Linked DNA regions of Pelodiscus sinensis. The protein of the gene in region 2 interacts with the protein of the main gene of each other region in a pairwise test. Links are inferred from orthologs where the notes say so. Each region holds a gene or a part of one and is shown on either strand. Other genes may lie near its edges. The genes, in order: NCKIPSD and PSMD9.

What was found.
Region 1: the proteins of PSMD9 (region 2) and NCKIPSD interact in binary tests that used the Homo sapiens proteins (3 or more experiments, as listed by UniProt). The two-hybrid records come from large-scale screens. The link is inferred for Pelodiscus sinensis from reciprocal best matches to the Homo sapiens genes PSMD9 and NCKIPSD.

The regions. Positions count from the first base shown.
Region 1 is NC_134721.1:26,041,219-26,056,789, forward strand, and holds the start of NCKIPSD (NCK-interacting protein with SH3 domain), read right to left. Parts: upstream 5,620-15,571; 5' UTR 5,541-5,619; coding exon 5,370-5,540; intron 1-5,369. UniProt on the Homo sapiens protein: Has an important role in stress fiber formation induced by active diaphanous protein homolog 1 (DRF1). Induces microspike formation, in vivo. In vitro, stimulates N-WASP-induced ARP2/3 complex activation in the absence of CDC42.
Region 2 is NC_134725.1:33,296,313-33,311,089, reverse strand, and holds the start of PSMD9 (26S proteasome non-ATPase regulatory subunit 9), read right to left. Parts: upstream 5,675-14,777; 5' UTR 5,614-5,674; coding exon 5,506-5,613; intron 4,189-5,505; coding exon 4,086-4,188; intron 1,854-4,085; coding exon 1,660-1,853; intron 1,075-1,659; coding exon 973-1,074; intron 1-972. Other genes in the region: HPD (4-hydroxyphenylpyruvate dioxygenase), read left to right, coding at 9,229-9,231, 9,470-9,496, 11,140-11,202, 13,761-13,865, 14,697-14,739. UniProt on the Homo sapiens protein: Acts as a chaperone during the assembly of the 26S proteasome, specifically of the base subcomplex of the PA700/19S regulatory complex (RC).

The DNA.
Region 1 (15,571 bases), on a different chromosome or scaffold from region 2:
GCTTGCTCTAAGGCAAAAAGTAGGAGGCGGCCCATGTTCTTTCCCCCAAGCTTGTTCTACACTTAAAATTTATACCAACAAATCTATGCTGGTTAGAAGAGGGGTTTATTTCTTTAACCAGAAAAGCTATACCAGTATACACCCTGACACGCATGCAGTTTATACTGGCAAAAACATGCTTTTGTCCACATAGCTCATCTGTCTTGGTGAACTGGTATAAACTGTGTCAGCAGGAACATGTTTATTCCAGTATAAGCTACATCTTATGCTGGAATGGTTTGCCAAATACATAGCCCCTCAATCTGAAACAAATATTCACCATCAACTTCACACCCCGTAACAGAAACACTAAGCCAGAAACCAATGCCAACAACCACCCCATTACCAACTGTCCATATCTACCCTAGTTACCCCATCATAAGACCTCACCACATCAGCTATACCAGCAAGGCTTTGTTCACTTGCATATCTAATATATGTGCTATCATGTGCCAGCAATGCCCTTCTACCATGTACCTTGGACAAATTGGACTGCCTTTACACCAGGGGTGGGCAAAATGGCCTCTGTGGGCCAGGTGCGGGCCAATCAGGCATGAAGCTTTCTTTGCTCTGCCCCCGCCCTGAGAGCAGCATGCAGCGCTTCGCGTGCTCCTCCACCCCGAAGCCTCCTCCCACCCTACTAGGAGCATGCGGCGCTTTGAAGCACCACGCTGCTCACAAGGCAGGGGCAGAGCGAAGAAGGCTGGGGGCGGGGGGCAAGAACTATCTGGCCTGGGGGTGGGGGAGCATGCAAAGCCTCCTTCAGTATAGGGGCACATGGTGCTTTGAAGCATCAGGCGCTGCTTGGGGGGGGGGGGGGGAGAAGAGAGCAGAGGAGGCTTTGCGCACTCCCCCGTCCGCAAGCCCTAATTGGCCTAGGGGCAGGGGAGCGAGGAAAGTCTCCTCCCATATCCCAAGTCACCATCTTCTCCTGCCGCAGGTCACCAAGCAAACCCTCTGTACTCCCTCTCCCCACCTCCTCCAGGTCACAACTCCTTCCCAGACCCTGCACTCCCTCATACATGCCTCCCCCAGGCTAAAATTCTCCCTCTCCTGCACTCAAACCCCCTCCCGGGTCCTGCACCACACTCCATCTCCCCACCCCACAGCACAACCCCCTCCTTCACCTAAACTCCCTTTCAGACCTCACACGGTTTCCTGCACCCCCAGTTCCCTACCCCAAGCTCCCTTCTACACCCAACCTCTGTCCCAGACTCCACATACCCCCCACAGAAATGCGGCCCTTGACCTCTTAAAATCTTGGAGCGATACCCCAATCCAATTGCCCACCTGTGGGTAAACCACTTAAATGGGAGCAAGAGGATGGGGGCTACTCTAGCTAGGCTAGAACACCCCTAGCTCCACTGTGCTAGCCAGGCTGGTTAACTGTAATTGGTAAGCATCACCTGGTAAAAGTGACACTTATCAGTTAACAGATTAACTGGTTAACCATTCACATCCCTATATCCTTTTTTATGAGATTCCTCTGGGAAGCAATAGCAATAAGATGTTTACTTATTTTGACTGTGATTGTTGGAACATGGACTGCTTACCAATAACTTGACTGCACTATAAATGATCCTACTGACTTGTTTGCAACGGTCCATTGCTGACATGCTCTCTTTGCCTGCTCAGTACACCCTGTCACTAATTGTTAGCTTCATTATTCTTGTAGTGCTCGTAGTGACATTAATTACTTCTCTGTTTAATTAGCATCAAACTTATTAAATAGAGAGGTGGTGTATCTTGTTTGCATTCTTGTCGCTATCAGTCCATTCAACTGTCTAAAGCAAGGCTTAAGTCACAAAAAGGTTTTTCCATATCAGGTCTACTTAGTTTACTAATAAAAGCAAATTTTGACTCCAGACAGAACTGAAAAGCTGACCTCAAAGCACTCTGAAATCACTTAATGAGATGCAGTCAATGTAACTAAGCACTGATATAATTACAGAGCAGTTATTTGAATTCTCATCTGCCTCATGCACGTATGATCACAAGTCAAGTTCTGGTTCCAGAACCTTTATTGTCAAATAACATGGAGCTTTTCTGCCACCTCTGTATTTCCTGGTAACAGGTTAAAATAGCAGTTTGGAAAGTCATGTTTGAACTAAAGGAGAATAAATATGAAGTACCAGAATCTATTTTCATAACATGTCATAACCCTGCTTTCACATTCATTTTAATATTTGTGATTAATATACTATCTCTATAACCATTCTAACCATCTTTAATGCAACCCGTGGCTTGAAAGTACTTCAGTGTGAAAGCAAAATAGAAGGGCAAAAAGGAAGAGAGAGGTTTTCAGATGAGATTTTAAACTACAGTGCTTGAGGCAAAGAAATACAGGAAGATTGCTCCAGAAGGCAGGAGTTGCAGTGAATATGACTTCTGCACCAACCACAGTGAAACTTTGTGGAGGGACAAAAAGGAGGCATGGCACTACTAGATGAGCAGATGAAGCAAGAGAATGGAGAAAAAAATTGCACAAGTAGTACATTCACTCAAGTCCACAGATTATTTTAAAAATATATTGTTTTAATTACAACTTCAGCTTTGTAAGTGCTATGAAATATTTCAGCACCTGATTCTTACATGAATACAGGCAGTCCCCGAGTTACGCGGATCCGACTTATGTCGGATCCGCACTTACGAACGGGGCTCTCTCGCCCCGGAGCTCGCAGGCAGCGGGACCACCCAGAGCGCAGCGGTCCCGCCACCTTGACCTCCAGGGTGAGAAAAGCTGCTCCAGGTGCCCCTGGTCTGCTGGGGACCGTCTCCAGCAGACCAGGGACACCTGGAGCAAAGCCGGAGAGGCGGAGGGGTCCCGCGCCTCTGAGGCTTTGACAGAGCAAAGCCTCAGAGGCGCGGCACCCCGCCGCCGCTGCGGCTTTGCTCCGGGTGTCCCTGGTCTGCTGGGGGGGGGGGCGGGGGAGGAACGCAGCTAGTGGCCTCCCCCCCACCCTCTCCAGCAGACCAGGGAGACGTGGAGCAAAGCCCCAGGCCTGTGGTAGAGCAGGTGAGGCGCTGCCGGTTGGTCCCGCAGCACCGCTCCTTGGCGCTACTGGACCAACCGGGCAGCACCCCAGCTGCTCTGCCCCAGGAGTCCTGATTCAGCCGCTGCTGATCAGTTTCAGCAGCGGCTGAATCAGGACACCTGGGGCAGAGCAGCTGGGGTGCTGCTGGGTTGGTCCAGTAGTGCCGAGGAGCGGCGGCGCTACTGGACCAACCCAGCAGCACCCCAGCTGCTCTGCCCCAGGCATCCTCAAGTCAGCCGCTGCTGAAACTGACCAGTGGCTGACTACAGGAAGCCCCTGCTCCGGGCTTCCTGGAATCAGCTGCTGATCAGTTTCAGCAGCAGCTGACTTGGGGATGCCTGAGGTTCTTAAGTTGAATCTGTATGTAAGTCAGAACTGGCGTCCAGATTCAGCCGCTGTTGTAACTGATCAGTTTCAGCAGCGGCTGAATCTGGACGCCAGTTCCGACTTACATACAGATTCAACTTAAGAACAAACCTACAGTCCCTATCTTGTACGTAACCCGGGGACTGCCTGTAATCCAATTGAAGTCCGACTATTGTCATGAATAGGAGTTGCAGGATAGGATCCTTACTCAAGTACAAAGGTCTAATCTTAGAGTCACACTGGCAGACCAGGTGCCAGCTCTTGTCAAAGCTATAGGCATCAAATTCATAACACAGTCATAGCTGGAAACCAGACCAGTTCCCCTGTACATTCGTAATAACTCAAGATAGGCATCAGACTTATAAGAATGTGATTAAACTCTATGAAATGCTTGTAAATTGCTGCATGCATTAACTTCTCGTAATCTCTATATCCCACGTTATCCAGTGAAATGCAAGTTTTTGTTCTACAGCACCTACAAAAATGTATGGGTTTTCCCTGCTGTTGTGATTACTGCATGAGCTCTCATCATTCTGACTCCTATTAGGGTTGGAAGAGTCTGTCCTCTTATTTTCTATAATTACTAATGTCACTGACTTGACTATAATTACTGCCACTATCATTACAGCTGGTTGTTCTGGCTTCTCCCACATCAGTGCTGGGACAGGCCTGTTATTAGCCCCCATATTATTCTAACTGTTAGTGAAATGTGTGTGACTGATCTGCTGCTAAACATTCTCACTTATACACAGCAGAAGCTACAAATAGCCATTTTCAAAGCAATTCTCTGCACATTTGCTCTAACATACAGATTGTGACAATAACTGCTTAATATAGAAGCAATACTTAATGGTAAATTCAGACATTAAAAGCAGCACATAGCCTATCATCCACTGACTCAACCTCGGGGAGTCGACCAACTATACATCTAGTCTCACTAGTGCAGGCCATGTGAACTTTTCCTTTTCCCCCTCATACTCTCATGAGAGCAGAGGATACAGAACCAGCATATAACTTCTTCCATACCGATACCCCCAACTCCCTTGTCTTCTAACCCATTATATGTAGGGGCCAACATATAACTTATGTCCTTGGAGTAAAGCTCCATGTTTCTTCTCTATGGTCCTGACCTACAGAAGTTTAGTGCATAACTTGCATCACCAGGTCAGTGTTTCCTGGTCCTTGGCAACCAAAACACCCAAACTGTCACCTCAGCAAATGGTAAGACGACAGTGGACCTCTCAGGCAGTGGTCCTCATACTTGGCTTAACCTCATTATCCTCTACAGCTGCAGACAGGAGTGGTTGCATCTCCTCTGCACAGATCCAGCTGATTCAAGAACTTCATGACTATAATTTGGACATCCTCTGTGTGGGACAGAAAGCTTGTGCATAGACCGTGTTACTAGCACAGCACCCCATGACTTGTTACTTTCTGAGGAAAGAGGCTAAAAAGTAGCTGGTTCCCAGAATAGATGCCCTCTAAAGACTGCACTACAGAACTTCAGTCAGTCTCTGTAGTACAGTCTCTCTGTTATTAGCGTTAAGCCTCATCCTACAAAGAGGCCACGTTTCATCCTCTGGCATGCCACAGCCAGGATAATGCCCATCCCTAAACGCCCAACTGATTGGCTGCAGCCATTTTAGAAGAGGGCCCCCAAAACCCAGCCTGTGCTCTCTCCCCCCCTAGCCCCCCCAACCCAGCCTGTCCTCTCTCCCCCCCTAGCCCCCCCAACCCAGCCTGTCCTCTCTCCCCCCCTAGCCCCCCCAACCCAGCCTGTCCTCTCTCCCCCCCTAGCCCCCCCAACCTGTCCTCTCCTTCTCGCCCCGGCAGCCCATCCCCCATTCCAACCCGCCCAGCCCCCCGGGCCGGCTTTGCCCTAGGACGGGGCGCCGAGCCCGCCTCGCAGCCCACGTGCCCGGCTCTGACCTGCAGCCGCTGCAGGTAGGAGGCCGGCGCGTAGCCCGTCTCGCCGGAGCCCGCGCGGGTCACCAGCCACCAGTGCTGGTTGCTGCGCTCCAGCAGCAGGAAGGTCTCCCCGGCGGCGAGGGGCAGCGAGTTGGGCTCGGCGGAGCGGAAGCTGTACAGGGCCCGGTACATGGTGGCGGCTCAGCCCGGCCCTGCAGGTGCCGGCTCCCGATGTCAACACGGCCCCACCCACCAGCGTGCTGCGTCATCTGGTCGGTCGACGTCACCGCGTGGCCCCGCCTCCTGGTTTGGCCAGTCTGTTGGGCGTGAGCGCCCCCTGCTGGGTCGGCTGCCCCCAGCATGGCCCCGCCTCCGCACACGGGTCAGCCCCGCCCCCAACCCCTTCTGCGGGAGGCAGCGGCTGCACCCGCGTGTTCCTCAGGCCTGCGTGGCCCCCCCGCAGGGGGCTTCCCCTCCCCTTGCTCCTGGCTTCTATCCCTCCCACTTGGGGCAGCCCCTCCACCCGTGTGACTCCTGCCCCCTTATAGCCGCATGAGCCTTCCCTTCCCCTCCCTCGTGGCTCCTGCCTCCCCGCCATGGGGCATTACCTCCCCTGCCAGCTCCCCTCCATGCGGGTCCTGGCTCCTGCCCGGGCCTCCTCTCACCCCTGCACATAGCGCCCCCACCCCCTCATTACCGTCACCCCCAAGCGTTTACCGCCCTGTCACATCACTCCGGGCTCCTGCCCCACATCACATCAGACCGCTGCCACACCTGGCCCCACATAGAGCCAACCCTTTGCTGTGTGGCTGCGCTCACTGCAGAGACATTTCTGCATTTAATCATTCCCACTGCTCCCTCCTGGGCTCCACTATCAAGCCCCCATTGCCCTGCTGCCTTCCTCCCCCCTGGGCTGTATGGGACTCTAGTCACAGGCCACAAAGCCCGGATTCTGGAATGTGGACAGAACTTGTATAAAATGGAACTAGCACGGTGCAAGAGTAGCATAGGTCTGACATACATGGCTCTATTCTCTCCCAGCTCCTTGTTACCTTTAGTATGGGGGCCAAATTAGGAGGGCCAGGAAGGGCAAGACCACAGCACTTTGTTTTGGAATGCAGAACAGCTCATTGGACTCCCACTAATTTGCTGTAAGTTAGAGCATCTGCCACAGCTGGGGAAATAGGATTGGATATAATACAGAAAATAGTACAGTACCATTATATAAATCACAGGTTCCCTCTTGTCTAGAATACCCTGTGCAGTATTGATCACCCCATCTCAAAAAGACTATTGCAGAATATTGCAGGTTCAAAGAAAGCAAGGAAAGTTATCAAGGAGCTAGTAAAACACACAGGAAGAGCTTGAGAAGATTGGGATATTTACCTTAGGAGATGAATAGGAGGGGACATGCTACAAGTGTATGGCATTACACATAACAGTGATATTTAAGATAACAGTGATATTTAAGAGCTTCAGAGGGGTAGCCGAGTTAGTCTGTACAGGATAAACTTAAAAAACAACAAATAGTCTGGTAGCACTTTAAAGACTAACAAAACATGTAGATCAGTGGTTCTTAACCTGGGGTGCACACACCCCTTGGGGGTGCAAGATGCCCTTTGTGGGGGTGTGAGACATGCCAGATTTTTATGATATATCTTAGATTTAAAACTGACCTATTTCAACGATTTTTAATAAGGGGTACGAGAACATATTTTGAGAACCAAAGGGGTGCAGACTACCACTGATGTAGATGGTATCATGAGCTTTCGTGGGCACAGCCCACTTCTTTAGATGACCAGTGTTGGATGTCCAGAACCAAAAATAAGGAAGGGGGGAGGAGGAGGAAGAAGCAGTGGGTATATAAATATCAAAGGGAAAGCTGAGCAGTATGTAACAAGCAAAAGTGATATTTAAAGATCATTTAAAAAGTTGGGCACCCTTGGGCATCTGCATTGTGGTAGTCTTTAATTACATGTGCCCATACCCTGCTCACCAAACCCCTGCCTCATTTTGTGCATAGGTATGGTGCTCAGTAAATGGGCAGCTATTCAATATTTGTTCATCTTGTTGTTCAGTGTGTGCCCCTACACCTTATTTACTGCATGTTATTCATACTGTCGAAGCAAATACACGCTCCTCTCTGTTTAGGCGGCTAACAACTGATTGCTTTATTGATCAGTAAAGCAAAGTGAGCCAAACGTGGTCCCAGCAAAGCCGGGCCCAGTAAGGCTGCTAATACAATCAATCCTAGTATCTTTATACCCTTAGCCAAACAGTCTGATGTCAGGGCATCCAATTACAGAAATCCTCAATTAAATTTGGAAAAACAAAGCCTTATCAACAAGATGGCGGACAGGTACGAGGGAGTACATCTCCTGTCCCAACCAGCCCAATTAACACATACCAATAACCCATCCTGTAGGCCTCTTCTCACGGGTTGACAGAAAGTTCACTCTGGTCTACGTGCTTGAGAGAAAAGCTGAAATGGTTTCTGATATACAAGATGGCTTCTAGCTAAACATAAAATAGCTTCTACAATACCTTGCTCTGAGTCTGAAGATAGATTTATTGATTTCCTCACGGGCTCTTCTGTAGTACTCCCCAATTTAGCATCTGAGTGGTGCATAAACATTAATTTATTTTCACAACCCTCTAGTGAGATGATTATTACTATCCCCATTTTACCGATGCAGAGCTAAAGCACAGAGAAAGTAAGGTCAAAAGCAGATCTGAATGGATACAGTATTTTCTATTCTATTAACAAGTCTGAGGTTTTCAATTTTTTTTTCATTCAATAGCAAAACAAGAGATAAAAATCTCAGAAATGTTCACCCAATACCAGCATGCCAGGATGGAGGGCAGCCCAGAGAGCTGGTCAGGTGGGAGATTGGCCACTAACCTCCCTGAGAAAGTGTAGGTCCCTGGGTTCCACAGCAGTTCACCAGAGGCAGGGCCCTGGCAGCCCTGACTCCAGAGCAGGACTGCAGAAGAGCTGTGAGCTTCATAGTCAAAACACTCAGAGCTCCCAGGTTCTCTATTCCCTGTCAGCCCACCAGATAGGCTGAAATTAGGCATGCAGGGTTCCATTGGCAACTTTTCTAGTCTAAAAATCAACACATTTGCATGGCGTATTTAAATGTTGATTAATCAACATTTTGTGGTGAAAAAATGTTTTGCCAGAAATTTTCCAATTAGTGCTACTCAAAGGTTTCTGATTTCAGATGCCCAGTCTGGGACACCTATAAGCAGATTTTTCAGAGTTCTAAGTTTTCTATGTTAGATCAGGTCCTCCTGTTCCATAACACCACATCAAGGGAACAGTTGATAACACTGAAAGACAGCAAATTCAAAACTGATAAAAGGAAATACTTCTTTGTACAACACACAATCTGTGCAACTCACTTGCATAGGAACTTGGCAGTGGGGCTGGACATGTATATGGATGGGAAGAATATAATTTAATAAAATTAAACAGGGATATAAACGTTCTTGCTTTAGTGTTGAAGTCAACCTCTACCATTACAAGTAGGGAATGAGCTTAGGTGAAACTAGGGTCTGATTCAGTGCAGCAATTACTATGTTCTGAAATCAGTCTCTCATCCATTCGATCCAGGAAATGGCTGCTGCCAGATACGTTTGGGAAGTAATCTTGTATAATACAGCAGGTTATTCAATGACAAAACAAGAGATCACAACATCACTTAAAACGAGACAAAGTTCAAAAAACAATACAAACAATGCAAAAATGGACATGAGGCAGTCTTTGGTTTGATGAATACCCAGCAGAGGGCAGTAAAGGTTTATGAAACAATATGAACACAGTTCATTGTCAGTCTTCTGTACTTCAGAACATTGTTCCAGAAAAGTCACAGTGAGGAGTTACCAGAGCTGTGTGAGCAGATGAGAGGCTGGGACTGGGCTCAGTGCATCAAAACACATCTGTGTCACTTGGCTTATTCCCAACATGGAGACTAGTGAACAATTGTGAAATGGCTCCCAGAGCATTCTGGGTAATCATGAAAATAAACCATAGCACTAGGCTTTCAAATGTTATGCTTCAGCACGGACACAGGGACCATTAGAAGTGGAGCAGTTTCCTCGAAGCAGGTTTTCAGGCTCTGTGCTTCCTCTCGACCTTCTAAACACCCAGGCCCTGATTCCTAGTGTTGTCTTTCAAGAGACATCACCCAGTGGATAGAGGGCAGGAGGCTAAGGTAAATTTACACACAATTAACCTGTGCCACTTGTGTCCCTCTGAATTCTAGACCCTGCCAGAAGCCCAGCTGGCTTCTGGTGTGACTTAGCCCCAGCACACAAACCACTAGTCTGCCATCCTTGAATGGCTATCCATATTCTGACAGCTCAGAATAACCACAGCACAGTGCACACTGGGCACACAGTGAGCATGCCCCTAAGTCAGTGCTGTGCAGGAAGACAGAGAAACTTTCTGAGTGTAGCTGAGAGGCCTGGCCACTGTTTGGACTTAAAGGCCTGGTGCAGCAAATAGATGTTGGGGCAGAGCTGCATGTAGGAATTTTGAAGCACAGTGGGATGGTTGAGGGATATGCAGCCTCTGCCAGCTCCTGCTCATTGAGGGCCATGCTAAAAGGACTGTGCTCTGACTTTATATCCCTCAAGTGAGGCCAGGATCAGTCAGTGGGGTGGGTGAGCCGGGATCAGTCAGTGAGGAAAAGAGAAGAGGTATCTGCCAGCTAGGGGTGCGTCTATACTGCACTATTATGTCAAGATAACTAGCGTTATTTCAAAATAACAATGTGAGCATCTCCATAGCCATTCCATTATTTCAAAATAATTCCAAAATAACGGATGGCTCATTCCAACTTCTGTAAACCTTATTCCACGAGGAATAACTCCTATTCCAAAATAGCTATTTCGAAATAAGGCATGTGTACACACTCCACTGCTGCTATTTTGAAATAGCCCTTCACCAGGGCCATTCTAAGTTATTCCTCCCCAGTGCCTCCTGAGATAGCAGATCTACATTAGGAAAGCCTGCCTCAGACTAATTTTGAGGCTTCCCTTCAGCGTAGATATGTTATTTCAGAATAACTATTCCTGAATATCTTATTTTGAAATAGCCTTGCAGTGTAGACATACCCTAGGGAATGCAGTCCAAGGAGCAAAGCAAAGGAACCCATCTTGGCATGGAAAGTGGGTTCTTTAATGATGACACCAAGTTCAGAGGGAAGGACTAGGACAGTGAAGAAGAGCTAGTGACTTCAGGACAGGAAAGATCAGAGCAGAGATCACAGATGGTGTCACAATGAGACCGTGCAAAGCCAAAGAGGTTATCATGGCAACACAGTAGAGAAGAACTTACAGGTAAGCCAGTAAGATCTAGGAGACTGGATAGAAGTGGAGAAACAAGCAGGCCTGATACAGATGATTGAGCCTGCTCAGCAAACTTTATGATGGAAGAATAGAAAGGGCTTAGTTGTGTTCTGGAAGGGGAAATGGGCACTGCTATTAGCCAGAATGGGCAGGAATGATGTCTCTAGCCTCTGTTTGTCAGAAGCTGGGAATGGGCGACAGGGAATGGATCACTTGATGGTTACCTGTTCGGCTGTTCTGTCCACTCCCTCTGGGGCACCTGCCATTGACCACTGTTGAAAGACAGGATATTGGACTAGATGGACCTTTGTGGTCTGACCTAGTATGGCCATTCTTATGTTCTGATGGTCCATGGTTGTGAGGCTGTCACATGCAGTGAATAGGGATGAGATGTGGCTTGAATCACGCTGGGAGAGAGCCCCAGTGCCTGGATGAGACCCTTAGTACAATAAATGTACAGAGCATACAAATAGAGCTTCCAAGTGCATGTTGCCAGCTCTCATCATTTATCACATCTGGTGACAGTTGATGCTTTTCCTTAAAGTTCCAGCTTCCAAATTCTTAAATAGGGGAAATTGGCTTACCTTTTAAAAAGACTTTTCTAGCTTTTGTGGTTGTAGAGAAAGGCTTGAGAACATGACTTGAGTGCACCCCGAAAACTCTGAAATCAGAGGGCGAAGAAAATCAGTGCAACATGTATTAATCGTTAACTATCTCAGCGTTTTTAAGCTGAGACCTCACTCATGACTGCTGAAGATAGGGGCTGGCAATACTGTAATGCTCATATCAACTCACTCTCCCTATCATGTAGAATCATAGACCTAGAAGGGACCTCAAGAGGTCATCTAGTCCAGTTTCCTGCACTTGTGGCTGGACTATTTTTTATCTAGACCAGCGATGCACAACCAAGACTAGTGAGTGGGCCACGTGGGTTACAACTGCTTTGGAGGATAGGGTCATAATTCAAAATGATCTAGACAAACTGGAGAAATGGCCTGAGGAAAATAGGATGAAGTTTAATAAGGACAAATGCAAAATATTCCACTTCGGAAGGAACAATCCGTTTCACACATACAGAATGGGAAGTGACTGTCTAGGAAGGAGTACTGCAGAAAGGAATCTAGGAGTCATAATGGACCACAAGCTAAATATGAGCCAACAGTGTGATGCTGTTGCAAAAAAAGCAAACATGATTCTGGGATGCATTAACAGGTGTGTTGTGAGCAAGACATGAGAAGTTATTCTTCCGCTCTACTTTGTGCTGATTAGGCCTCAATTGGAATATTGTGTCCAGTTCTGGAAACCACATTTCAAGAAAGATGTGGAGCAATTGGAGAAGATCCAGAGAAGAGCAACAAGAATGATTAAAGGTCTAAAGAACACAACCTAGGAAGGAAGACTGAAAGAATTGGGCTTGTTTAGTTTGGAAAGGAGATGACTGAGAAGGGACATGATAGCAGTCTTTAGGTATCTAAAAGGGCGTCACAAGGAGGAGGGAGAAAAATTGTCCTCCTTAGCCTCTGAGAATAGGACAAGAAGTAATCGGCTTAAACTGTAGCAAAAGAGGTTTAAGTTGGACATTAGGAAAAACTTCCTAACTGTCAGGGTGGTGAAACACTGGAATAAGTTGCCTAGGGAGGTTGTGGAATCTCCATCTCTGGAGGTATTTAAGAGCAGGTTAGATAGACATCTACCCAGGAGGGTCTAGCCGGTTGTGGGTCCTGCCATGAGGGAAGGGGACTGGACTCGATGACCTCGAGGTCCCTTCCAGTTCTAGTATTCTGTGATTCTATTCTATTATAAAGCCCAACAAAACAGTCAAAGAATTAAGTGACATTTAGGGATGTTAAATTTCGACTCCAGCTATATAATTAATGTAGCTGGAGTTGCGTATCTTAAGTTGACCTTCCCTTTTAGTGTAGACGTGCTGAGACTTCTTTTTTCAAGACTAATACTCAGCTGCTTCAATCTTCCCTCATAGGTCATGTTTTCTAGACTTTCAATAATTTTTGTTGCTCTTCTCTGATCTTTTTCCAATTTGTCCACCTCATTTCTGAGATGTAGCTCCCACAACTGGGCACAGTATTCCAGTTGAAGCCTAATCAGCAGAAGTAGAGCAGAAGAATTACTTTTCATGTCTTACTTATGTCACTTCAGCTAATACATCTCAGAGTGATGTTCACTTTTTTATAACAGTTTTAGCTTGTAGTCCACAATGACTCCCTGGTTGCTTTCCACAGTACTCCTTCCTGGGTAGTCATTCCCCATTTTGTTTGTGTGCATCTGACTGTTCTTTTCCTATCCAGAGTATTTTGCATTTGTCTTTACCAAGTTTCATTCTGTTTACTTCAGATCATTTTTCCAGTTTGTCCAGATCATTTTGAATTTTAATTCTATGCTCCAAAGCATTTGCAAACTCATGCAGCTTAGTATCCTCCATATACTTTATAAGTGTACTCTCTATGCCATTATCTAAATCATAGATGAAGATATTGAACAGAACCGGACCCACATCTGATCCCTGCAGGATTCCACTTGATATGCCCTTCCAGCATGACGGTGAACGATTTATAAGTACTCTCTGGAAATGGTTTTTCAACAAGTTATGCACCCACCTTATAGTAGCTCCATCTAGATTGTATTTCCATGTATTTCACACATTATCAACCAACCAAACAATGAAGGTGCTAATGGTTCTTGATGACTGTGTAGAATCTGGAGTTGGTCATCTTTCTTTCCAAGTGCAAACTAATGGTTCTTATCAGCCTCTTGTAACTATTTAGTCTTTAAGGTGCTACTAGACTATTTGTTGTTTTTTATGTCTTTCCTGTTACAGACTAACTGGGCTATCCCTCTGAAGCTTATCTACTTACTGTCTCTTTTTTCTTCCTCCCCTCCATTTTTTTCCTTCTCTCCCCTCCCTCTTTGCCTTATTTATTCTTGGATCTGGACTTCCAACACTCTGGTAATCTGAAGAAGTGGGTTGTGCACACAAAAGCTCATGACACCGTCTACATGTTTTGTTAGTCTTTAAGGTGCTATTAGACTATTTGTTGCTTTTTAAGTTTTTCCTGCATTTCCGTAGTTTGTTTATGAGAAAGTCAGGCAAGACTGAATCAAAAGCCTTACTAGTCAAGATATATTACATCTACTGCTTCCCCCCTACCCACAAGGCATGTACCTTGTCAAAGAAAGCTCAGGTTGGTTTGACAATTTGTTCTTGACACATCCATGCTGTTATTTATCACCTTATTATTTTCAATGGGTTTGTAAAATTATTTGCTTAATTTTTTGCTCCATTGTCTTTCTGGGTACAGAAGTCAAGCTGACTGATCTGCAATTCCTTGTTTGTAGACTGGCACTATATTTGCCCTATTATGTATACATCATAGGGATTCCCAGGAAAGAGAAAGAGTCTCGTTGGCCTTATAAGTTATTGCTACCACTCACTTGGCAAGGAGATAGTCACTCTCCTCCCTTCCCAGCCACTCTAGTGTTAGAAACCATCTGGTGCTGGCTCCAGAAAAGAAAGAAAAGGTGAAGACTCAAAGTCCAGGCTTTGTGTTTCCGTACAGGCTGGCTTGTATTTCAGGGCAAGGTTTCCTTACTTCAGACAGTATCAGACCCATTTTCTATGGTCCTCATAGTCGGATTAATGTCTCCTATCATCCTAGGCATATCTGTGTAGAACAGAAAAGGCTCCTGAGGGCTGGTTCCATTGCAGGTCCACACCACCAGCTGCTTAGACCTAAGTCATAAATCAGAGAAGAGTCTACCCCTTCCCACAAGGAGCTGTGTCCATTTGCCATCCCCAGGGAGACATGGCTAGTAGAGATGTCAGATTCTCAAAGTACAGTGGCATGGCTGGTGCAGAGCATGGCTCTGGCAGTATCCTCTATAGGGCACGCAGTCCCAAGACTGGAAGAAGGGGCGCTAAGTGGGTTGTGAGAGGGAAAGTGTATAAGTTGACATTCATCTGCCATTTAGCCCTTTATTTCTCACTGGTATTTTTTTAGAAACAGCAAAGATTGAGGTAGCCTGATGCACAAGGCCAGGTAGCCCCTCCAGCCAGGTTTTTCTACAGAGAGGGTCTGAGCTAAGCTTGGGGGGAGGCCAGAGATTAGCTTTGTCTCTGGGTATTAGACTCTGTCCAGTGCAGACTGTCTGCCTCACAAGGAATGGAACTTGCTGTGGAAGCTGCTAGCAGCTGGATTTTGATTATCGTAATCTTTTATCTCAAAGAGTGTGTAAAATGGAATGGAAAAGGAAATGGAATGGAAAAGGAAAGGAGGAACCTGGTTGTCTGCTGAAGCCTCCCCTGCATGCAACCATCCCGAAAGTCAGGCAAAGAAGCAACAAAAATGAAGCAAGTATTTCATCAAAGCAGCAAAACCCTCTGAGTGCGCAGCTCTGCACTCCCTGTGCCTCTCAACCTGCATCTACACTCTGAACCAGGGGTGTGATGCTCAGCTCGAGGAGCTATACTCATACTAGCTGAGACCAAGCCAGTTAGCCTGCAGCTGTGGCTGTACAACCAGGTGGAGAGGCTACCCTCCCCAAGCACACACACATCCCAGACTGTAGGCATGTAGTCAAAGCAGCTAGCCCCTCCTGTTGCTTGTGTTGCTGTTGCTACACTCTGTTTTTAGCACTCTAGCTCACTGAGAGTTAGCACCAGTGTCTCTTTGCTAGGAATCATACCTCAGCTCCAAGTGTAGACACATCCTCAGGGGATAGGATGTCCCCTACAATCAAGGGTGTCTGCAGCAAGTGTAGATATACTTGAGCTAGGGCCGGCTTTAGGAAGTGCAGGGCCCAATTCGAATCATTTTGATGGGGCCCCAGCAACCAGGATTTTTTGTTGACCA
Region 2 (14,777 bases):
CGACTTCGCGGACTTTTTTCATTACATTATGTATATACGTGAATCCGCGATGGTCGAACCGCGAAGTAGCGAGGGTTCACTGTACAGTGAACATAAAATTGATCCTTACCAAAACTTTAAAAAGCCTCGGGGGAAGCCGGCGGGGGGGCATCCCAGGCGCGCCTGGGCTGCTCCCCCGCCGGAGCCCCTCCGCGGCTTTCAAAGCCTCGGGGGAAGCCGGCGGGGGGGCATCCCAGGCGCGCCTGGGCTGCTCCCCCGCCGGAGCCCCTCCGCGGCTTTCAAAGCCTCGGGGGAAGCCGGCGGGGGGGCATCCCAGGCGCGCCTGGGCTGCTCCCCCGCCGGAGCCCCTCCGCGGCTTTCAAAGCCTCGGGGGAAGCCGGCGGGGGGGCATCCCAGGCGCGCCTGGGCTGCTCCCCCGCCGGAGCCCCTCCGCGGCTTTCAAAGCCTCGGGGGAAGCCGGCGGGGGGGCATCCCAGGCGCGCCTGGGCTGCTCCCCCGCCGGAGCCCCTCCGCGGCTTTCAAAGGCTTTGAAAGCCGCGGAGGGGCTCCGGCGGGGGAGCAGCCCAGGCGCGCCTGGGATGCCCCCCCGCCGGCTTCCCCCGAGGCTATGGTGGAGAGTTAAAAGTTCCTCTCTTTTTGAAGTTTATCTCCATTGTTCCTTGATTGGCCAACAGCAAGCACTCTCAGTAGAGACCAAGCATTACACCTACATTCTGCTCCCAACTCTGTCAGCTCAGGAAAAAACCTCACAATTCTTAACTTTTCTTCACTGGTCTTAGGGATAATATTTAATAGCATAGCTATAGGGCCAACAGTCACAAAAAAAACACAAGCAGGAGGAGCCTGATGTTCGTTTTCCAGAGTGGGAAACTGAGACTAATGGTCTCTTTGAACTATCACAAAAGAAAAAATATCCAACCTTCAGTTCTAAGCCTGAAAAGAGAGCTCAGCCAAAGCTGGTAACCTGCTCACCCCTTCGCTGTGCTGCACCACAGTGGCAATATTCTGCAGGGACTGGAAGTTGTGTGTGTCGACAGAGCCAAATGCAATGATCTCATCATCGACCTGTAATCCCTTTTCAAAGAAACAAAAGGAAACTCGCATCATTTGCCCTCAAAAATACACAGTGGTGTGAGTTCATATAACATCTTTCATCCAAGGCTCTTTACAGCACCTGATAAATATTCAACTAGGTTGCAGCTCCATTCAAGAATCTCAAAGCATTCCTCAAGAGTTAGCAGATTTCCTCAGAACCGCCATGGGAAATAGGGGGGTAGTATTTATTATCCCTGTTACACAGATGGGGAAACTGAGGCACAAAGTGGTGGCATGGCCTTACCCAAGGTCCTACAAAGTGTCAGTTGGAGAGTTAGGGAAGAACCCAGTTCAGATTTCCATCCCTATGCCTGATTCATTAGCTAGATATTCTAACATGGCCACAGCTCTATAGGGTATAGCAATGCGTACTACTTTATACTGTCGAGGCGAACAGAAATAATTATGTCCATGAGGAAAGTTACAAGCACCCAGCAAGAATCTGGTTTAAAACAGAACTTCAAACCCTGCACCTGATTACAGGTGAATGGGGAGAACCACCTGCCATATCTGGGGTCCAAATGGCAGAGTTTCCGCCGTTGGAAGCAAGACAATTGTACTTGCCGAGATACTAGCAGGAGAGCCTGGGGTGACAGCATTCACTCTTGCAAAGGGTTGAGGCAAACTCTGGTCCTGATTCATTGCTTCGGCCTGAGCTTCGGCCTCATCCTTTGCACGTTTCTCCTTCTCTCGGGCATGTAGCTGGTGGAGGGCTTTTTCCACCTGAAGCATTAGGACCTTGTGATCATTCTGCAAACCTAAGGGCGAGACACATTAGTGCAGAGAAGACAGGAACAATCACGTTTTCATTTAAGGTCCTTACCTAACAGATACATTTACCTCTCTGTCTGAGATTTCTAGCTTTGAATTAAAACTAAGACTTTTGCTCCTCTTAGGCCTACACTGTGAATGAAACTGTGCTAGCAACAATGGCATTGCTGCTCCTAGTTCAGTTTCTCTGATCAGTTTGGCTACCTGAGAATCACATTAAATCTATGTTATGTAGTCAGGAACATGGTTACTTTCTATGGGAGTTAGTCAATGTTCCCAAATACACTAAAAGATCCACTGTGTAAGCATAACCAGTTACAACAGCCATCACCTGACAGCGCCATGGTTACCGACTGAGAGCTCTTTCACAGCTCTGCTCAGGAGCACAGCATTGATACACAACTACACACAAGGTGCGTAGAAACAGCCACATTACAAATTAAGTAAAAACCTATAGACTAAACAGAGTATATAGACTAGGGAGATCAGTGTCCTCATAAAGAACACAAAACAACCAAATCCCCTTTCCATCCAATCACCCTCTCTATCCGATCGGCAACACACGGCATGTATGCTAGAAGTGGATAAGGTTTTGAGTGGTGTGGTTGCGTGACGGATGGCTCCCCGTGCCGCAGCTGGGTCAGGGTGAGGTTGTCCTTGCTGGGGCAGCCTCACCACAGCCCCGGTTCCTGCTCTGTGGCAGCCACATGGTCCACCTGGTGGGGCCACGTAGCAGAGCGAGGCTGCTCTAGGAGCCACAGCTGGAGCTGGGTCGCGGTGAGGCTGTCCCTGCTAGGGTAGCCTCGCTGCTTCCCCAGTTCCTGCTCCGTGGCAGTCACACAGCCTGACCAGCCGGGCTGCATAGCAGGCCACTGCTTTGGAGGCTGGAGCTGCTCTGGGGGCAGCCAGCCCACATGGAGGAACATGACTGTTCCAGGGGCTGGAGCTGCTCCAAGGGCGGCTGGACATGGCAGAGCAGGGCTGCTAGGCCATGTGAGGGAGTGGGGCAGGCTGGAGCTGGACTGGAGTGCAACAGATGCGGTAAGGAGGGGGCTCATTCTAGGACGCAGTTTTCCTGCTTCGGTAGGGGGTGTGAGGAGCTGCCTTCCAGCCCGTCCAACACGTTCACCTGGGAGTCCCGTCCCTGCATCCTCCAGCCTGCCAGTCTCCGCCCTGTTGCACAGCCCTAGCCCTACAGCTTCAGCACTCCCTGCTCCACTTTCCTCCCTTTCTGCCTCGTGATGTCCCTGGCAGGCGGGCTAAAGACAGTGCTGAAGTCACGTCCCACCGCTAGCACCACCACCACGGGGCCCCCACTAGAGGGTGAGTGCTGCTCGGGCTGTAGCTCCGGGGCTGGGTGGCAGCGGCTCAGGGGAGAGGAAAATGCATGTGGGGGTCCTCTGACCCCAAAGCAGCATTAGCCCCAGGTGCAGGAAAAGCTGAAATACAGTCCAGGATAGGAGACCAAGCAGGGCACACGGTGGAGAGAGCCCCCCCGAGAGAGTGGCACAGCCCAGGACAGGAGGGTTAAATCTTGGTACACCACTTTGGAAAAGCTGCCGAACCCTGCTCTACATGCAACACTTATTTCTAAACAATGACTATTATAATACATTTGTCCACAAAATACAAAGCAATCACTAAATTTAAAAGGAACAACGTTGACTAGTTTAGATCCAACATTTATTTTCTAAAGAACACAGAAAAGTTTTACAATAATACAAAAATATTACTGTTTTTATTAATCATTAATAGGTGCATTAATAATGTTGCACACACATTTTAACAGATTCATTTTTATGACTGAGCCACTCTACTTGAACTTTTGTAGTACCTGACCAGAGGGAAAAGCTGCTTGGAAACAAAACTCAAACTGACCCATTTTTATTTTGCAATCTGGATGAAGTTAAAATATTAAATAGCACTAGGAGTGTATTACTATAAAGATGACTAATTATTTTTACTAATAAAGTGTTTTAATAATCTATTTTGTTATTATAAACTAAAGAAACTTACTGTTGTAAATATATAAATGTCCAATCAATAATTTTGCTTTATGTAAACAGTATTCAGTTTTATTTCTTTATGTTTACCAATGGGAAAAACAAAACGAACCAAACCAGATGTTTGTAAAAAAAAGAACCAAATTTCTGATAAGTGTGGTCTGTTTCATTTAGCTCAGCCCCTGACAAGATACTTTTGAGGACTGAATTGCTTACAGATAATGTTGTGCCTGGCTGTACGAACTTGGTATATATCGACATCTGCACGTGGAAACCCTTCAGCATCAACCAGCGGCTCGTTCATCCCGACTCCCTTTTGCTGCAGAATGGAAATACTTTCATGCGTCAAGTATTCTTGAGACAAGTTACATTTTGTTTCTCATTTTTAAAGGACAAAAATATGGCACCTGTGGTCTCAACAGCTTGTTTAGTAGGTTGAACTCATAGGTCAGAGTGGGTTAGTACAGCATATAGGTAAGAACCAGCTACCAGTACTGGCTCGTACACAACTGACATTATAGTGCTGCTGTGGCAGTGCTTTAACATCAGTGGCCCTGCTGAACCCTACACTAACAGGGCTGCCCACAGGGGAAGCAAAAGGAGCAGCTGCCCTGCTGATTTAAAAGGTCCTGGCTGTCACTACTGCAGTGGCCTCAACCTGGGAAGAGGGGAATGAAGGGGACCTTCTAATCACTTCCAGTGCTCTCAGCTGTTCCCATTGCCCTCTACATCACCACCCAAACCCTGGGGCTACTGGCTGATGTGGAAACAGAACCCACAAAGGGCTGACTGGGGGAGTCTCATCCCTCCAACCCCACCCTTCTGGGGACCCAGAGCTGCCCCCCGCCTTGCCAAGGAGGCAATTACTTTTGCACCAGAATGAACTAAATGAAGTCTGTAAGGACATTGCAGATCTGAGTTTGCACAGACCCCATCCCTGCCCTGAGGACTGCCCATCTGGATGCATTCCTTGACATTTCATCACAACATAATCTTGAACGCAACAATGATCTTTAATTCCTGGAGGCTCCACGACCATCCTGGGAGACCCCGCCATGAACTCTCCCCTCTCACTGAATGTGCACATATGCCACAGCCCAGCTTTGCACAGAGACCCCCTACAGTGAACCCTGTGCATGTGGGCTGTCAGGCTCTAACCTGAGAGACCAATACACACAAACAGGGCCGGATTAAGGCATGGGCTAGCCGGGCAGCTGCCCGGGATGCCAACCTATGTGGGGCGCCTGATGGCAGCTATAAGGGATGCGCAGCGCCCCTTATAGCTACCGTCAGGTACCGCACGCCCAGCTCCCAGCGGCCACCCTGCAGCGGTGCTGCGTTAACCCCTGCAGTGCCAAACAGCAGTGCCCTTCCCCCGTGGCCATGGGGCCTTGCACGGGCAGGCTTGGCCCGCATCAGGCAGCCTCGGGCTGCGCACCAGCAGTGATAGTCGGGCTGGGCCGGGCCAGGCATATGCATCCTGCCAGGGCCAGCTCCGCACGCCCTCCCCCACACGCTCGGCAGGGGCGGGGCCGCACAGGCACGCGCCCCAACACACTGGCACGGGGGCGCGCATCCCCCCCCCACACAGGGAGCGTCTCGGCCCCCAGCAGCGCCCCGCCCCCCGCGCACGCACCCCCTCCAGCACCGCGTAGCACGCTTTGATCTGGGCCTCGATCTCGTCCTTCCGGCGCATCAGCTCCTGCACGTCGCTCATGGTCACGGGCCCGGCCTCCTCCGCCATCGCCTCGACCCAGCCACCCCCGCCCGCGCGTCACGCGCCGCGCAGCAGGATGGGCGGGGGGGGGGGGCAGAGGAGGGGCGGAGCCATCGCCCCGCCTCCTCGCGCTGTGGGCGGGCCCGGCGCGCGTGGGCGGGGCCAGGGGGCAGCAGGGCCCGGCGCGCGTGGGCGGGGCCAGGGGGCAGCAGGGCCCGGCGCGCGTGGGCGGGGCCAGGGGGCAGCAGAGCCCGGCGCGCGTGGGCGGGGCCAGGGGGCAGCAGAGCCCGGCGCGCGTGGGCGGGGCCAGGGGGCAGCAGAGCCCGGCGCGCGTGGGCGGGGCCACGAGGCAGCAGGGCCCGGCGCGCGTGGGCGCGGCCAGGGGACAGCAGGGCCCGGCGCGCGTGGGCGGGGCCAGGGGGCAGCAGGGCCCGGCGCGCGTGGGCGGGGCCAGGGGGCAGCAGGGCCCGGAGAGCGGCTGCAATGCCAGTCAGGCGCGCACGGGTTAAAATGCACCGTGGGAGGGGGGAGGGGTCACTAACCAACCCCCCCTCCCCCCACGCCTGTACGTGGCGAGGGACACTGCGGCCTTGCAGGGGATTTGCAAGCACTTTAAGCGCGGGAGCGTCCCCCCGGTCACCGCCCCTCTCTGTATCATCCCGGCACCTGCCGCCCCGCGCCTTGGCCCCTTGGGAGCGGCTGCAGCATTTCAGCCTCTCGACCGGCGCCGCCAGACGCTGCATCCTCTTGGCCAGGGAGACTTCTAGTGGAAACGTCATTCAGGGCAGCCCGGGGGGGGGGGCTACTAGCGCTCATCGCGGGGTACAAAGTGGAGCGGCAAAGTCCTTCTCGAGCTCCCACGTGTCCGCCACGTTCCACTGAAGCCGCTTCCAGGCTGATCGTTCCGTCCCGGTTTTGTGTCCTGGGAATGGTCGCTGGCGGCTTTTGAAGAGTTCTGCAGTGCTGGCTTCCATGGACCATGTGGAGGGCTGGGACGGGGAGAGAGGGCTTATGAGTGGGTTTGTTTTTTTTAATCTTCTTCTTTGAAGTAGGAATCTACTTTGAAGTAGGAATAAGATCCTCCGGAAAAGGGCGCTTTTTTCTGGAGGATCGGGGCCAGTGTAGACGCTCTTTTCCGGCTTTTCTAAAAGCCGGAAAAAAGTGGTGGACATTTTTATTTAAATGCCGCGGGGGATATTTAAATCCCCCGTGGATTTCCCTATTACGATAGCTGAAATTAACATGCCCCTTCCGGAAAAGGGGCCAGTGTAGACGTAGCCTGGCTGTTCAGCACATCTACTTCTAGTTTTAGGCATGGTGGAAGTTCTTAGGTTATGTGTTTTTGTTTTGTCAAGGTTTTTATTTGCAAGAAATTTCATAATGAGGATGAATGGCACTTCAGATATACCCTTGTTGGGGTGAGCAGAGAATGCTTGCATTGATTTGCCTTTGAACTGGAAAGAAATGGGATTTTGCCCAATTATAATAAATACAATCAGAGAAAACAATGTTTTCTTGCTTGGCTGGACAGAAAACACTATACTAAAGAAGGATACTTAAACTCTGGCAGTCAGCTGGCTAAATCATAGTCTAACAGTGGTTTTCAGACTCTTTTTTTTCTCAAGACCCAGTTGAAGAAAGTTGTTGATGTCTGTGACCCCATATAATTTGACTGGTTTGTGGGTTCCAGGGTGGGGCTGAAGATGAGAGCTTTGAGGTGTAGGAGGGGGCTCTGGCTTGAGTGGGGGTCATTGCTAGGGCAGGAGGGGCTGACCTTGAATGGCTCTCAGAGGTGCAGCGGGAGTGCTAAGGCAGCTTCCTGCCTCCTGGCATTGCAGACTTTGCTGTATGCTCTCCCCTCCTCTCCAGGAGCTGGGCCTGTGGTGCAGTCTGCGCTGCAAGGTCAGGCAGGGAGCTAGCTGATCCCCCTGCAGCAATGAGACCCAGTGCTTGACATTCCATGGCCCAGTACTCAGTTGCAACCCATAGTTTGAAAACTAGTAGCCAAATAGGCCTCTCCTCCATCTCCCATTGGGCTGCTGGTGAGTGTGGTTTAAAGGAGAGTGGGGAATGGAAACAAAAAAAAGTTTTCTTGGGAGGGTGCCTGTTGCAGTCACCAGCTCTAGCGTGCGCTCAGAAAAAGCTGTGGAAGATCTTGGACAATCTTGGTCTTGAATTATTCCTGAGGACACAACAGTGTGTGAAAAGCTTGGACAATCTTGGTCTTGAATTATTCCTGAGGACACAACAGTGTGTGAAATGGTGGGAGGATCAGCAGACTTAACTAAACAGCACAGCAGTCAACTGGGTCTTTCCCTTACAAACAAATCAAACAAGCAGAAGTGAGAAAACAGAAAACTCCCTTGGGGTTCAGCTGAGTCCTCTGATCCCAGCCCTCTCCTTGCCAAAAGTATCTCTCCATGTCTCCCAAGCAAGCTCCACTGCTATTAACTGCCAAAGTTAACTGCCTGCAACAAATTATAACAGGCTTGTTTCTTTCCTGGCAGGGAAGAAGAAACCATACTATAACTGGATTTCCCAGATCCATGAGAGGCCTGATTTTCCTCTTAATTGCTGTCAATTAGACATAGTGGTGGAAGCCAAACAAGTACACTGCACAGCCATCAAATAATACATTTTGGTTAGTGCTTTCCTATTCTAGATTTGTAGCAGTAATCTAGATCTGAAAAGCACCCATTCCAATTGCCAATTCCCTGAGCAATGCCTAGACACCTTCAAGTAAATTTTTTGGTTTTAAATTCTCCCTGCAGCAAACATCTGTGAATGCTGGCACTGTCAGAGTTCTGCTTCAAAGATATGGGATGTGATGGTCCACAAGCTAAAATCAGTGAAATCTGGTGTTAATCCAGGCTATGTCTACATTGGCATGATCTTGCGCAACTATTTAACGCAAGACTTCTGTTAAAGTATTTGCGCAAGAGAGCGTCTACACTGGCATGTGCCTTTGCGCAAGAGATGTGCTTTTGTGCATGAGCATCCGTGCCAGTGTAGATGCTCTCTTGCGCAAGAAAGCTCCAATGGCCATTTTAGCCATCAGGCTTTCTTGTGCAAGAAATTCATGTTGCCTGTCTACACTGGCCTCTTGCGCAGGAACAGTTGCGCAAAAGGGCTTATTCCTGAGCGGGAGTGTCATAGTTCTTACGCAAGAAGCACTGACTTCACACATCAGAACGTCAGTGTTCTTGCGCAAGAACTCCCCGCCAGTGTAGACAGGCAGCATGTGTTTATGGAAAAGTGGCCACTTTGGTGAAAGATCATGCCAGTGTCGACACAGCCCAAAAGTACAGAGTTACTTTGGGTTAATACTACATTCTGATGAGAATCTGGTCTTTTTTTTAGACTTTCCTTAGATAATTTGATTCACAGATAAGCTGCAGCTAAAGTAACCTGGACCCTTGGCTCAGAATTTGTAAACAGTTTTTCTTTCTTTCAACATAAATATGAACTCCATGTTATCATTTCTGAGCCCATGGCAGAATGATTCAAACCAAGTAAATCATTTAGTTTACAAGATAGAAAGGGTGGAGTCAGGGAGGGGCTTTCTCTCTTCCCATTGCTATATTAAATACATAGAAAGACTCTGACTGTCTCTTGGGGCTACCACATTGTCAGGTTACAAAAATGGTGAGGTTGAGATTTTTTAAAATTTGCTGGCAACACATTATTGGGGGTAAATGAGCTAATCTCTCACTGTGTTTGTATAGGTTTGTCTTCAGTTATTCAGGGTACTGTTTGTGCTTTGAAAAGCTGGGCTATTTAATTTATCTGTTTAAAGCAGTTCAGAACACTTATTTTCTAAAAAGTGACCTGATGGACTAGTTTTCTGGTGATTAATGTACATTTTTTTAATTTATCTCTTTAGACAACTTACACAGACAAAGGAGAAAAGGTAAGAATACAATTGCATGGAATGGGTTTATGTTCCCTCCAATGAAAGACTGGTACTATTAGTGCAACACTGATATTATAAATGTCTTCTACATTGATGGTTAGGTAGGATTAAAAGTCTGAAGGGGCTCCAGTTTTATAGTGTTGGAACACAGTTTATATTTAGAGTTCTCCTTTTCTGTAAGTTGCAGTTAATGATGCAGATCTTTTTTCTTCGCTTTTTTGGGGGAAGGAGAAATGTAAGATTACTGACATTACCAGTTAAGATCAAACTCTTCCAAGTCTAGAGATAAGCACAATTTATTATTTCTCAATAAAAACTGTAAATATATTTTAAAAACTTGTTTCAAACAAACTTTTTTTAAAATATTGATCTGTATAGCATAATGATGTTTAATTGCTAAATGCTATCCCGTATAACATAAGTTTACTTAATGCATTATCTTTTATATAAAGTATATGCACAAATAATTAATAGTGATTACAAATGAGAAGACAGGAGAAAGTAGATATCAAATCATAAGTAAGATAGAAAAGCTGTTTATTAAAGTAGTGTTTGACCAAATAATGTTATGAAATACTTCAAAAAAGTTTGTTAAATTCCCCAACTGTGGCTTGGACCCACATTTGCAGTTGAGTAAGAGCTTTCCTTGATGAGAATTAATCTTTAACGTAACAAGGTTAACAAACTCATATTGGATCCATACAGTTGAGTGGGTTATTTGTCCAGTGGCACAAAGTCTATTTTCCATTATTCTCTGTAACTCATCCTCATTATAATCAGTGTAATAAGAGAACAATTCATCCATTGGCTTGTGTCTGTTCTCACTTGAACTGGTTTTACATGTGACTTAATTGACGAGTGAAAGTACTCCTACTTTACAAGGCTGGGAGAACAGAATCAGGTATTTTGTGTTCAGTGACAAAGTTATGACTGAGCAGATCGGCTGCTGTGTGTTCTCTCCATCAGAGACTCCTGAATGATTATTTTCCAGAATCCCGAAGGAAAGAACCACTCTGCAGATTACCCGTGGAAATGTTTTGTCCAACTTTGCTCCTTCCTGTCTTGTGAATATTTTACTAGCATCTCTCTCATCCACACTGGTATTTTTCCTCCAGAGCATGTTTGGAGGGTGCTGTGATTTGATCCAGTTAGGCCATATTTACCCTGGTCATTATACATAAGTTTTTAGTGGCTTTATTTTTAGATAAATTACTATTGAATGGTTAGAAGACAAACTAATTGTTTTGCTTGGAATATATAACAGCCCCCCCCTCCCCCCAGGCCTTTTCAAAGTCCAGTGTTCTGGGGGTCAGTGCCCAGCAAACATCAGAGCTCTCTAGGGACTCCTCAGAAAACCTGTGATGTAGGAATACTTTGAATTATTTTCAGCCTTCAAAAGTGGTTTATTTCAGATATCTTGAGTATATATTTTTATAAAACCCTAGTCTCAGATTTGTGCTTTCCACAGTTTTATTATTTCAAATGATAAATGTGCAATCACACCAAGTTTCTCTAGCTATACCAATCTAGGTCTGACCCACTACTTGCTAAAATAGAGACAGTGTCATTTTAAAAGTGTAGCATTAAAGTGAGACCCAAAACCCTGTAGGTTCATATTAACTCTTCTTCCTTCCATTTAGCCTGAAGGAGGCAAATTTCTCCACTTCCACTCTCTCACATTCTGGGTTGGAAATGCTAAGCAGGTATGTAGGTAAAAGTCACATCTGCCTCTGCTTGTGAGTATGGGAGTTGGATCATTTTTTGTACGCTATCACTGTTTGAAGAACAGGGGCATACTGTAATCCACCTTTGCTATTGGCTGTCAGGAGGGGAGGGTCTGCCATGTGATTTCTGGATTGTCCTGGGGATCTGCATTCAATTAACATTCCCTTAGAGGCTGGCTCTGGTGATTTTGCGCAGATGGAGGTGTTACAGCACTTTTGTTCAGTAGTATGTTCTTCCAGCATGGTCTTTGGACCATCATTATGCAACAGTGTTGTTTACATTGCAGACAGGGCACCAAATTGTGTGGACTTGCATGTAAACATTTGTCTTCCTAAATTCGTGGGCATTTAGAAAATCCAAAATACATTATATGAAACCACACAAGAGATTTGCAGTGGCACCTGTTTAATATAAAAAAAACCCTCACAAAAACATAGTTCCTGCTGCTTCCCCAGCCAAGTCCCTATCTCCAGGCCTTTGTGAGACCATTAGATGGAGGCATTGTGTGACAGTCTTGTTTGCAAAGTGATAAGATATCAGTCTTTGCTGATTGGCCCGGCAGCTGTATCATTCCATGTTAAAATGACATTAGCAAGTTAAAAATCCTTCCAGTTTAGAAACCCAATTCTTTTTCTTAGTAACATCTCAGGTTCATGGAAAGGATAATAAAAAGTTCACTTATATTTCAGTATTCATTGAATTAACGTACATTCAGCCTGGAAAAGGGTAGTCAGTTTCGATCCTATTTATTCCCAGCTATTTATTCCCACTTTCTAATTCTCCTACATAAGCCTGATATTGCAGTCTTTGTAACTAAAAGGGAAAACATTCGTTTCAAAATAAGCCATTTCATTTTTAAAAAAATCACAGAACCTGTTCTTTTGCTGTTAGACTTTGTAAGAACACATTATGATCTGCCCTTTTGCTACCAGACTCCTTACCATGCCATTTACAGCAAGGTTTGCAGTATAGCCTTGAGTCTTTTCTTCTCCAGCATAGTGATTAAGCTCACTTAGCAGGTGCAGGAACGTATTTAAAAATGTGTGAATCACTGCAAATGATTGGAAAGACTCCACTGAAAACCACAGTTGCCTTCAACAGGATCTTTCCCATAGAGGAGAGGATTGTTACAAGACAACAGAACAAGTGAACATACCCAGATAAAGAATTGCAAACTTCCCAGCTTGGGGTTCAACTGAGTCTGAGACTTGTGACGCCTGCCTATGGAGCCCAGAATTCTGCCTGTCTCAGGCAGTATCTCTTAGAGCCTTCTTGAGCATCTGTGCAAAGGGGGTAGAACACTGAATTGGACTGAATCCCTCATTTATTAGGGACCAGGCAGTGCCTGTCATGCTCAGGGCTATACGTGCAAAGGGACCGCTAAATAATAATGTATGCATGCAAAGGGGCCATTGGCGGACTGGAACATGAGACCTTTACCAGTCTGTCTGTGCCAGTGCGTGTGTCAAAGAGAGTGCAGAAGGAGCATCCCTAAGGCTATCCAGAGTGTTACTCAACACTGACTGGACAATTGTTCAACTGTGTGTGAGTTAGCTGGTGGCTCCTGCCTCCCTGGGACTCAGCACTAGACCTACTCCCACCCTGCAGGAGAGGTCACAGTTCTGAACAGAAACAGCTGCTATGCACGCACATTGTTCTCCACTGCCCCAGTCATATCCACCGTCCTTGCTCGTGGCTGCTGGCCTTGTGCTGAGTGTGACACAGCCCTCCGTAGCTGCCATCTCTGCTGTTGTGTGTGGTGTAAGCCCAGCTGAGTTGGTTCTCTCGGACCTCAGCACCACCTACTGCCCCATAAGGGTTTAGAGGATCAACTTTTAGTCATGTGACTGCTCCTGGCATCAAATCACCCATCAGTTGCTGCATCCTGTGACCATCACATTATCCAGTTAGAGACCCAGCCACAAGGGGAAAGCTTGACACTTGGACAGCCTAAGTCAGGGCCTAAAAAGCAGCAGGCTAAATAGAGCAGTGTATAGCAAAGTATAGAAATACTTGAAATACAGTACAGAAATACTTGATTTGAACCTGTAAAAGATCTAAGTTAATTTGCAGGTCCCTAAAAAATTTCAGATGGAGGTGTGGACCTCTTTGGAAATCTTAGATGTAGTTTGCAGACCTTTTGGGGGCTCCATAAATCCCAGGTTGAAAACCATTATTCTGTGGTAACAACAACCTTTCACGGACCCCTTAAGACCTGGTCTGTGGATCCGTAGGGGTCCACAGACTGAAAATAGCTGTGCTATGCTTGTAGCATCACCATGTGTCGTTATCTGCTTAAGATGCACAAACAAGGGTTTTCTTGTGCAATATTACAGGCCCATATAGAAAGGGAAGTTTGATGTTACTTTAAGAAGCATGTTTCAAATCATTCAACAGCTGGATGACAGTGCACATTAGCTGTTCGCTATAGGGTGGGGCCCGTGGGTGATGCTGTAAAGCTGTCCTTTGGAGAGTGCTGGTATGGAAAAAAGTGTTATGAGGAAGTGGTCCTAATGTGTGTTCATGTATTTCAAAGGCTGCCTCATTTTATTGTAACAAAATGGGATTTGAAGAACTGGCCTACAGGGGCCTGGAAACTGGCAGCAGAGAAGTGGTGTCTCATGTAATAAAGCAGGACAAGGTAAGCTCGCTGAAGAATACTTTAAGCGCTATCAAAAGCGTGATGCTCCTACTCTGGTAGCAGCTTGAGGGGAATAATAAAGTGTTGTTTTCAGTTGTTTTAAATGAGGTGAGAGAAGAGATGATGTTCTAAGAACCAGGAGCTCCAACCCTGCCTTTGAGACGGACTCCCTATTAGTTTGGCCACATGATGTAACCCATGTGCCTCAATTTGCCCAATGGCATCACACGGTCAGGGGAGGGGGCGAATGCCCAAGTTAATTTGCATGCGATGCTTGGTCTTTTTGTCTGGACAAAGGCAGGCTGGTCACATTTTGAATTCCAGTGTGTCACATTAAAATAAACTGCCTCAGTCCTGGAAGCCATTTGGAATAGCCCATTAGCATGGTGCTGTCCTGTGAGGCAGTGTACCTGTTACAGTTGCTTCCTCAGCTAGGACTGAGGCTGAGGGCTCAGCTTCCAGCCCAAGGACTGATATTTTTACAGTTTTCTGATTATTGGCCCCAAAAGAGCCCTTCTCCTCTCGAGTGGTTCGCAGGCCAGTCCTGTGGTCTTTCCTTGCCTGTCCGCCGGCAGAGCCGGTGATTTCAGTGGGAGTTTTGTTTGAATCAGGTCAGCAGGAGTTCATCTCAGTCTGTAACAGAGCAATGCCAAGCGTGCCGGGATATTTTAAATAGGAGATGGCTGAATATTGCATAAGTGTTCATTAGCATTTATGTAAATAAAAACACATACATGCTTTTGATGTACCTCTTAGGCACAAATGAAACCCTCCTTTCCCACGAACTGTATCCGGCTGCAAATAATCTCTAATGTTCTGCTTAATTCTCAGATCATATTTGTCTTCTCATCTGCTCTCAACCCTGAAAACAGAGGTAAATGAAAATACTCATCAGAGATGATAAAGGCCTGT